Drosophila melanogaster: one gene and its partner. The gene in region 1 interacts genetically with each later gene. Each region holds a gene or a part of one and is shown on either strand. Other genes may lie near its edges. The genes, in order: WRNexo and spn-A.

Region 1 (4,319 bases):
CAAAAGGCTTGACATTTAAACAATATTATCAACTAGGTAAACGGCTTCTGTGTCGCCTCCGCAGACCAGACGACTTCCATGCACATCGAAGGAGTTGATGGACTTGCGAACATTACTCAGCACTCCCTCCACATCGACCAGGGAGCGAACACGATCGCCAGACAACCAGGGGCTGTGTCCGTCTTTGTTATAGTCGCACCCGAGAACTTTGTTCTCTGACCACATCCACACCTCGCCACCTTCTGCGGCGGTGAACAGTTTGCTGGGATCCTTTTGATGGAAGCCTATCTCGTTGATGGGACTTTTGTGAGCGCTGAGATAGGAGGCGGGATAACTGAGGTTTCGCATATCCCAGACGGTTATGGAACCCTCTTCGCTGCCGCAAAGTAAAATATGTTGCTGCATCGGATGCTTGGCAAGGGACGAGACAAAGTTCGACTTGTCATCCTGGGAGGCCACCATAAAGGTGGTCTTCGGCTGCGCTTCAGTGGCCACTCGGGCGTCCAGCATTCGGATAACACCCATCCTATTGGCAGTCACCAGTTCCTGCTGGCTGATATAGCAAATGGAAAACAGCGCCATGCTGTCCGCCTCAATCTGTCGCTTCACCTGGCGCACATTTTCCACGGAGACGATGCTTACACACCCATCCTCGCCGGCGGTGGCGATATCCGTGCCGTAAACAGAAAGGTCGGTGCAAGGAGCGGGCTCCTGGCTACGTTGGAAGCAGTGCAGACGTCCCGATCGGGACGTACGTTGCATCTGATCCTCCTCCACGGCTCGATGGACGTTAAACACGCTGAGATGACCTTGTTTGGTATTAAAATAGACATTTATTTAGCTGAGTTCATGATTGCTGGAACTTGTAACTGACCATCGGCACAGCTCACAGCCAGCGTGTCCTTGTCGACGAACTCCATGGCGGTCACATCGTCCTCCATTCTCACCTTGTCCATGCAGCGAGGTATCTGGTCCACTTCCGAATCCGTGGCGGTGACATATTGGTTCGATTGTAGCCGCCAGAGGCGCACGAAGTTCTGGTCCATGTCCCAGCTTCCAGTAACGAACCGTTCGCTCTGCTGCAGTTCCTCCGGAAGCCAGCGCACTTGGGACACCTTCTCGGATATGTAGTGCGTGGAAACGTTTGCAATGGACATCTTTTCGTTGGATTTAGCAGAGGATTCGCGATGTAAACAAAATAATGCGGCTTTCGAGTTAAGTGTGACCAGAGCAAGAAGATCGCAACATATCTTAGCGGGAAACTTAATCTGGTATCTATAAATTGGGCAGGGCTGGAAACAAAAGCAGAAAAATTGTTATGTGGATCTATATTATGGTACTTAATGAGCTTATCTCAAAAACGATTGGTAATTCTATTATGAAATTTTCCTGAAATATCCTTTAAGGTGGTCAAGCTTGCACAGGCTCTGCGAGTGGAGATGTCCCCCAAAATGTGGGGCGCCAATTTTTCAATAGCATATTATATATACTTTCTTGAGTCCTATAAACTTATTTCGCACATAGATAGTTATATCTTTCTTTTCTTAAAAAAATTGCATTTTTAGTTTATCGAATTCACCTTGAAATAACAATAATATAAATAAATAAAAAACATTTCCTTGTTCCAAATTCTACCGTTCCTTCATAACTCATCAAGGCACTTATCGATTGTCACAGTATTTTTTCGTACTGTGGTGTTTATGTGCGCCTACCCCTCCATATTTTTGGCGGGAAATAATAGTAAACAAAGCATTTAAGAAAACGAACAAGCAACGCGGGTTATGGAAAAATATTTAACAAAAATGCCCATCAAATCAAAAGCAAATGAAGTTCCCAAGGAAGTAGGCTAATACACAATTTCGTGCAGGGATAAAAACTAACTTAAAAGTATTTGTAGGAGGCGGGCGTCAAAAAGGAGACTCCCAAAGTGGCAAGGAAAGCAACAAAAAAGGATACTCCAAAAGAGGTTTGCATTTGTTTATTATTTAGAATTTATTATTTAAAATACTGCTACTGCTTTTTTCAAAACTAAGAATCGGTTTCTGTAAATCGGAAGCAATAATGACTATGTATACTATTTCAACCGAATAAATCTTGCAGTTGAAAGATAAAGAAAATGCTGGAGATGATAATACGCCAAAGCAAACGAAAGGAAGACCCGGTAGACCGGCTGCCAAGCGAAAAAATCTGGATACTCCAGATGTGGTAAGCAACAATTTATATATTAAGTTTATATTGGGACGAAGCATTAACAACTTTATAGAAGACTGAGAAGTTAGCGATGGAGGAAGAAAATCCGCCCAAGCGCCGGAGTTCCAGGCTGACCAGAAGCACTCGTTCAATGGCAGAGGATGGGTCTCCATCACCGGAGAAGGAAAAGCCCGAAAAGCTTCCCTTTATTAAATACAAGGGTGCTATAAAGTATTTCACGGAGAGCCAGGATATTGCGGCATCTGCTGACGATGTTTTGTAAGTTAACTCTATAACTTATTCCTGCTTGTTAATAATGTGCATTAAAAATCAAAACTTAGGCAATGGGTGGAAAAACAAAAAGATGAGGTAGTGCCCATGGCCTTCGACATGGAGTGGCCCTTCTCTTTCCAAACAGGACCTGGCAAGTCTGCCGTCATCCAGATATGCGTGGATGAAAAGTGCTGCTACATATACCAGCTGACTAATGTGAAGAAACTGCCTGCGGCCCTGGTGGCCCTTATCAATCATCCCAAAGTGCGATTGCATGGCGTGAACATAAAGAAGTTAGTTATACAAAGGAAAAATCCATTTGGATAAATAAAATCTGTTATTTTCCAGCGATTTCCGAAAGCTGGCACGTGATTTCCCCGAGGTTACAGCCGAACCACTGATAGAGAAATGCGTGGACTTGGGTCTTTGGTGCAATGAGGTCTGTGAGACCGGCGGGCGCTGGAGCTTGGAGCGATTAACCAACTTTATAGCCAAGAAGGCCATGGACAAAAGCAAGAAGGTGCGCATGAGCAAGTGGCATGTCATTCCGCTGGACGAGAATCAACTAATGTACGCCGCCATCGATGTCTATGTAAGTTGATATTCACTTTTCCATACAATTTCGTTCAATCTTAGTTTTCTTTTCAGATTGGTCAGGTTATCTATCGTGAATTGGAACGCCGCGAGAAGGTCAAGATTAAAAATGAAGAAGAGTTCAAGGAAAAGAACGGAGATGCTGCCTTTAAAGCAATGAAAGCATTGGGAGAGACATTTCTGACCAAGATCAACGAGGTGACTCTGTAAGCTTTTCTTTGAAGTTTCAGATATGCCATCTAATTCCTTTTACCTGTTTAAATATTTTCGCCTTCTTTCATTTATTTTCGGGAGTTTTTCTTAGTTTAATTTGTTACCAACGTGCTGCAAAATAATTGTTAAATTTAATATTGCTATCCAATTCGATTATTGATTACGATAACATTTATAGAATTGTTTATACCTAAATGTACAAATTATAAACACATTTTGATGCATTGACTTTGATCGGAACGAAATTTTACTAGTACTATACATTTTTGCATGAATTCTAGTTGGTTTATAAATTCCCTTAAAATTATATTAAGATTATACAGCTTTTTACACTTTTCAACTTGCAATAAATTTTAATTTTGTAAATTCGCATAAACACTTTTAATTACTTAATGAACACAGTTGGAGCTGCCTGTGGAGGCGTCACTTGAATTGCGGTCGCCGTGTGCCGATGGCCTCCAGTTTCCGCTTGAGCAGATCGTTGTCCAGGTCGATCTGGCGCTGATTCTTCTTCCGGTTCACAGCTGCGCTGGACAGTCGTGGCGCTGGAGGTGTCTGTCGCTGTATGACATTGTTAAGGAAGAGGTTTAATATTGGACATAAGTTCTATATTATGTACTCACCTTCTCGGGCCCATTGATCTTTATGCTACTGGTGCTAGCCTTGATCGTCGCCGTGGGCTTCACAGTCATCATCTTGCGCAAAAGAATCTGATTCTGGCGCTCGATCTCGCGCACTTGGGGATTCGTAAAGCTAAAGCTTTTGCGCCCAAGGTTTTTATAGCTATGCAGATGTAATTATATGTAATAGAGTGTATAAGTATTATAAGTTACTTACTTAATCTTATCATTAGAGCAGCGGGAACGCGACACATTGATTTGATACTCGCAACCGTCGCTGTTGAAGGTGCTTGGAGTTCCGCTAACGGCTCGCCTGTTTAACTCCATTGGTTTGCGCTGTTGTGGATGCCTCATGAGTCCGTCGCCCTGGCCACATTCGTCTACGAGGTAGCCTTCGCCCAAGCCGAAGTTCGCTGCCAGGTCATGGGG
Region 2 (3,741 bases), about 12 Mb from region 1:
TGCTGCTGCGCAATCCGGAGTGCGTGGACATAATGCGCCGACTTCGCCGGTATGTGGGCAATCTGGAGCTCTGGAAAATGGACCTGTCCGACGAGGTGGAGTTCAAGGAGAGGGCGCAGACCATACGCAAGGTCTCCTCTGGCATATACGATGGCTTCAAGAGTCTCTTCAATCCGGAGCCCGAGAGCGAGGACAACTTTTGGATCGACTTCTGCGAAAAGGTAAAAATCTACAAGACCTATACGAAAAATATCAACGAAAACCTTCGCGTCGGGATGAACGAGCGCGGATATAATAGCCTGGTTTTGGCCAAGGAGGCCGCCGCTTCAGCCGGATCGGCTCCACAGTAAATGATCGAGGACCAGTTCTGCTGGACCAATTACATGATAAGGTAGGATGGGAAACCGCAAACCGCTGAGTTGAAACACATCTTCAAGAATCCTCTTTCTTGCAGTTACTCGTAAGCGTTACAAACCAGGCAACTTAAAGACCGTGCTTTGGATGACAAAGTTTTGATGAGCCAAGTGGGCTATGCTTAATTCTAGGTTAAAAATTCAGCTAAATTCCTTAATTCTGTTTGCCTGCCAGGTGCATGTCGTGTTACGCTGCGCTGATGGGGCTTTTCCTGCTGCATCCGCTTATTACCAGACTAAAAAAAAGGTTTTTGCTTCGAAACCCCTAAATATTTTCTAAGTTTGTAGATGATTTGAATAATATTGAATTAAATATAGATGGTACATACAATTCGCAACGGCTGTTTTATTTCGTCGTTATCCTAAACATTCTAAGTAAACATTAAAACAAAAAAAAAAACAATCTACGAAGTTTAATTCTTAGTCTAGGGATAAGTAATCATTAGAAAGTTAGGGAGCTCTATTCCTAGCATTAATTAACCTATAAGTGAGCACAATTAGCTCTCCCTGGCGTCTCCTATTCCATCCGGCAGAATGGCGAACATGGCCTCCGATTCCGGCAAACAGGGCGAGTCGTAGATCTTGCAGATGCGGGTTTCGCCTTTACCCTTGCGCAGATACAGCCGCGTGGTTGAGGAGTGGGCCATGATGTGCCCGCCAATGGGCTTCTTGGCATCAAACATGCCGGGTGCGCCGTCCAGCGAGGCAGTAACCTGGTTAGTAATTACCACAGCCACTCCGAACTCATCGGCCAGGCGTTGAAGCATGCGCAGAAATAAGCCCAAATGGTTTTGCCTGGCGGCCAGCTCCCCGCGACCAATATAATCGGATCTGTAGAGCGCCATGGCACTGTCCACAATCAGCAAAGCGTATCTGGACTCAAAGAGCATGCCCGCCGCCATCTGGATGAGCTTGGTCTGCTGATCTGAGTTGTGGGCACGGGTGAAGGCCACATTGTCCAGCACCTCGGATTCATTCAGTTTGTACCTTTGCGCGATGGCAGCCAAACGCTCCGGACGGAAGGTGTTCTCCGTGTCGATGTACATGCACTTGCCCTCGCCGCCCTTCTGGCTGATGGGCAGCTGGCAGGTTACTGCCAGAGTGTGGCACAATTGGGTCTTTCCGCAGCGGAACTCGCCAAAGATCTCGGTAATGGATCCCGTCTCAATGCCGCCGCCCAGCAGTTTATCCAGCTCCTTGGAGCCCGTGCTCAGCTGCACGACATCGGCACGCATTTGATAGAAGGTGCGAGCACTAAGGAAGCCCAGAGGCACCAGTTTGTTAGCCTCCGTGATGATCTGCTCCACCTTGCCGCCGCCCAAGCCGGGAATGGCCATCAGTTGCTTCTTGGTGGCATTGGCCACCGACTCCACGGTGTGCAGACTGGCCTGCTGGAGCAGCTTGATGTCCTTGGCCGTGATGCTGCCGCCCTAGGAGGAGGATATCGTAGGGAATGCCCATAATAATCCTGGTCGAGATCGCAGCCTACTCACTATTAACTTAGTCACGCTGAGTGGACCTTCTTCCTCCTCCTCTTCCTGCTGTGCCTGAACATTCGTTAGCTTCTCCATTTGACAGTTTCGAAGTTAAATTTGACTATTTGTTGTTTCGAGTTTCGTTATTTAAATTGCACGTCTTGCGTGAGAGAATTTCGACAAAGACTGCGCGGCGCGCAATTCACTGCAAAATCAGTTTGCCAATCGCCCCGAACGCACAAAACTCTATCACTACAGAGGATCCCGCTTAAAAGGAACGCGCAAGATCACCATGGCGAACTATTACTATTTCGACATCAAACTGTGAGTAGAATGATGTTCTGCGGTCATTAATATAAACTTGGTTGTTATTAAATTCAGTAAATATATTCATTTATTTAATAGTAAACTTCGGGATCCGACTGCAGTTGCTTTGACCCCATCTCTGTTTCGAAGCTGCGTTCTTGACGCCCTGGACAGTTTCTTCTGCGAGGAGAAACCCACACTGGAGATCGTGAAGTTCTGCGCCCAGCAACATCGTGTTATCTTTCGAGTGCCAGAGCAACTGCACGACATGACCCGCATATCCATTGAGCTCATCGGTCACTACCAGCAGATACCCTGTCATTTTGAGATCTTGGAAACATCCAAATCATCGCTGGACTTTGAGAAGAGCATTGAAAAGACTGTCGCGGTTGTGTCCGATGATTAGGACTAGCGAATTGTAATACTCAGTGTAATATACATTATAACCGTCATGAAGAATTTGAATTTGAATCCTAACTGATTTTACTGTGATCTGATTTTTTTGTCATTCACAACGAACTGAAATGATTTCTGTGATGGCTACTAAATGAGATTAAAAAGCGGAAAAACCCCATAAACTTGTAACCATTTTAATAAAATTGCATTTAAGTAGTTCCAATAACAATTTAAATGTTTTAATAAATGGCTATAATTTTAGCTATTTTATAACTACTCATGTCCGTTGTGAGCCGAGCTGGCATCTCTGGCGGCGCACAGCTGTTTGAGAAGCAGAAAGAAACAGCAAAAAAGGGGAGTAATTACATAAAAAAAACACACTGACCGGCAACTTTTGGACGACTTTTCCCGAAGATTCCGCCAAAAAAAGAGGGGCACTGGCACTTGCACCCAAAGCATGAGTGGTTACCAATATCTGGACGTGAAGATGTGAGTTCCGGGCACTCAGCCCCGCTCCTTAAAGCCCCGTATTTCCCACGTGCGCACGTGCATCATGCAAATATAATTAAGATAATTCACGTTTTTAATCGCCAGAAAACTCCGTGATCCAGACTCCGTGACTCTGACGCCCGTATTCTTCTGTGGCTGCATCCATAGCTCCTTGGCTAGTATTTTTGGCGAAATAGGTGGCCAGACCATACTGGAAATTGTGAAATTTAGTTCCAGCCAAAAACGCTCCATTCTCCGGGTGCCCGAGAACGTCCTGGATCGCGTTCGCGTAGCTATAGCCCTAATAGGATACTACCAGGAGGTGCCCTGCCATTTTCAGGTGCTCAGCACATCCCGAAAGCCCTTGGATTTTGAGGAATCCCCCGAGGAGTTTGTAGCATTTAACTAGCATTACCGCATCAGGATGTCATTCTCTTACTGCAAGGAGTACGGCAAGGACAAGGTGATTTTTGTGACCAAGGAGGACCATGCCACGCCCAGCACCATCGAGCTGCCGCCGCCGGAAAAGCCGGAGGGCGTGATCACCAAGGACGGCAAGATCAACTGGAGTTGTCCCTGCCTCGGCGGCATGGCCACCGGTCCCTGTGGCGTCGATTTCCGTGAGGCATTTTCCTGCTTCCAGAACAGCACCGCCGATCCCA

Evidence for each region.
Region 2: of WRNexo (region 1) and spn-A, changing one enhances a phenotype caused by changing the other (phenotypic enhancement), as found in Drosophila melanogaster (one study listed by BioGRID).

What each region holds. Positions count from the first base shown.
Region 1 is NT_033777.3:18,363,558-18,367,876, reverse strand, and holds WRNexo (WRN exonuclease), read left to right. Parts: upstream 1-1,714; 5' UTR 1,715-1,781; coding exon 1,782-1,841; intron 1,842-1,897; coding exon 1,898-1,966; intron 1,967-2,100; coding exon 2,101-2,205; intron 2,206-2,263; coding exon 2,264-2,469; intron 2,470-2,531; coding exon 2,532-2,756; intron 2,757-2,811; coding exon 2,812-3,055; intron 3,056-3,111; coding exon 3,112-3,267; 3' UTR 3,268-3,633; downstream 3,634-4,319. Other genes in the region: Nup43 (nucleoporin 43kD), read right to left, coding at 16-809, 875-1,157; hmw (hemingway), read right to left, coding at 3,694-3,831, 3,894-4,053, 4,108-4,319. UniProt on the Drosophila melanogaster protein: Has exonuclease activity on both single-stranded and duplex templates bearing overhangs, but not blunt ended duplex DNA, and cleaves in a 3'-5' direction. Essential for the formation of DNA replication focal centers.
Region 2 is NT_033777.3:30,053,956-30,057,696, forward strand, and holds spn-A (spindle A), read right to left. Parts: upstream 2,083-3,741; 5' UTR 1,985-2,082; coding exon 1,907-1,984; exon of another isoform or gene 1,844-1,906; coding exon 911-1,843; 3' UTR 741-910; downstream 1-740. Other genes in the region: Jasper (JIL-1 anchoring and stabilizing protein), read left to right, coding at 1-350; Rpp14b (ribonuclease P/MRP subunit p14 b), read left to right, coding at 2,181-2,212, 2,294-2,600; Rpp14a (ribonuclease P/MRP subunit p14 a), read left to right, coding at 3,048-3,079, 3,185-3,488; CG7950 (uncharacterized protein), read left to right, coding at 3,504-3,741. UniProt on the Drosophila melanogaster protein: Plays an important role in homologous strand exchange, a key step in DNA repair through homologous recombination (HR). Binds to single and double-stranded DNA and exhibits DNA-dependent ATPase activity. Underwinds duplex DNA.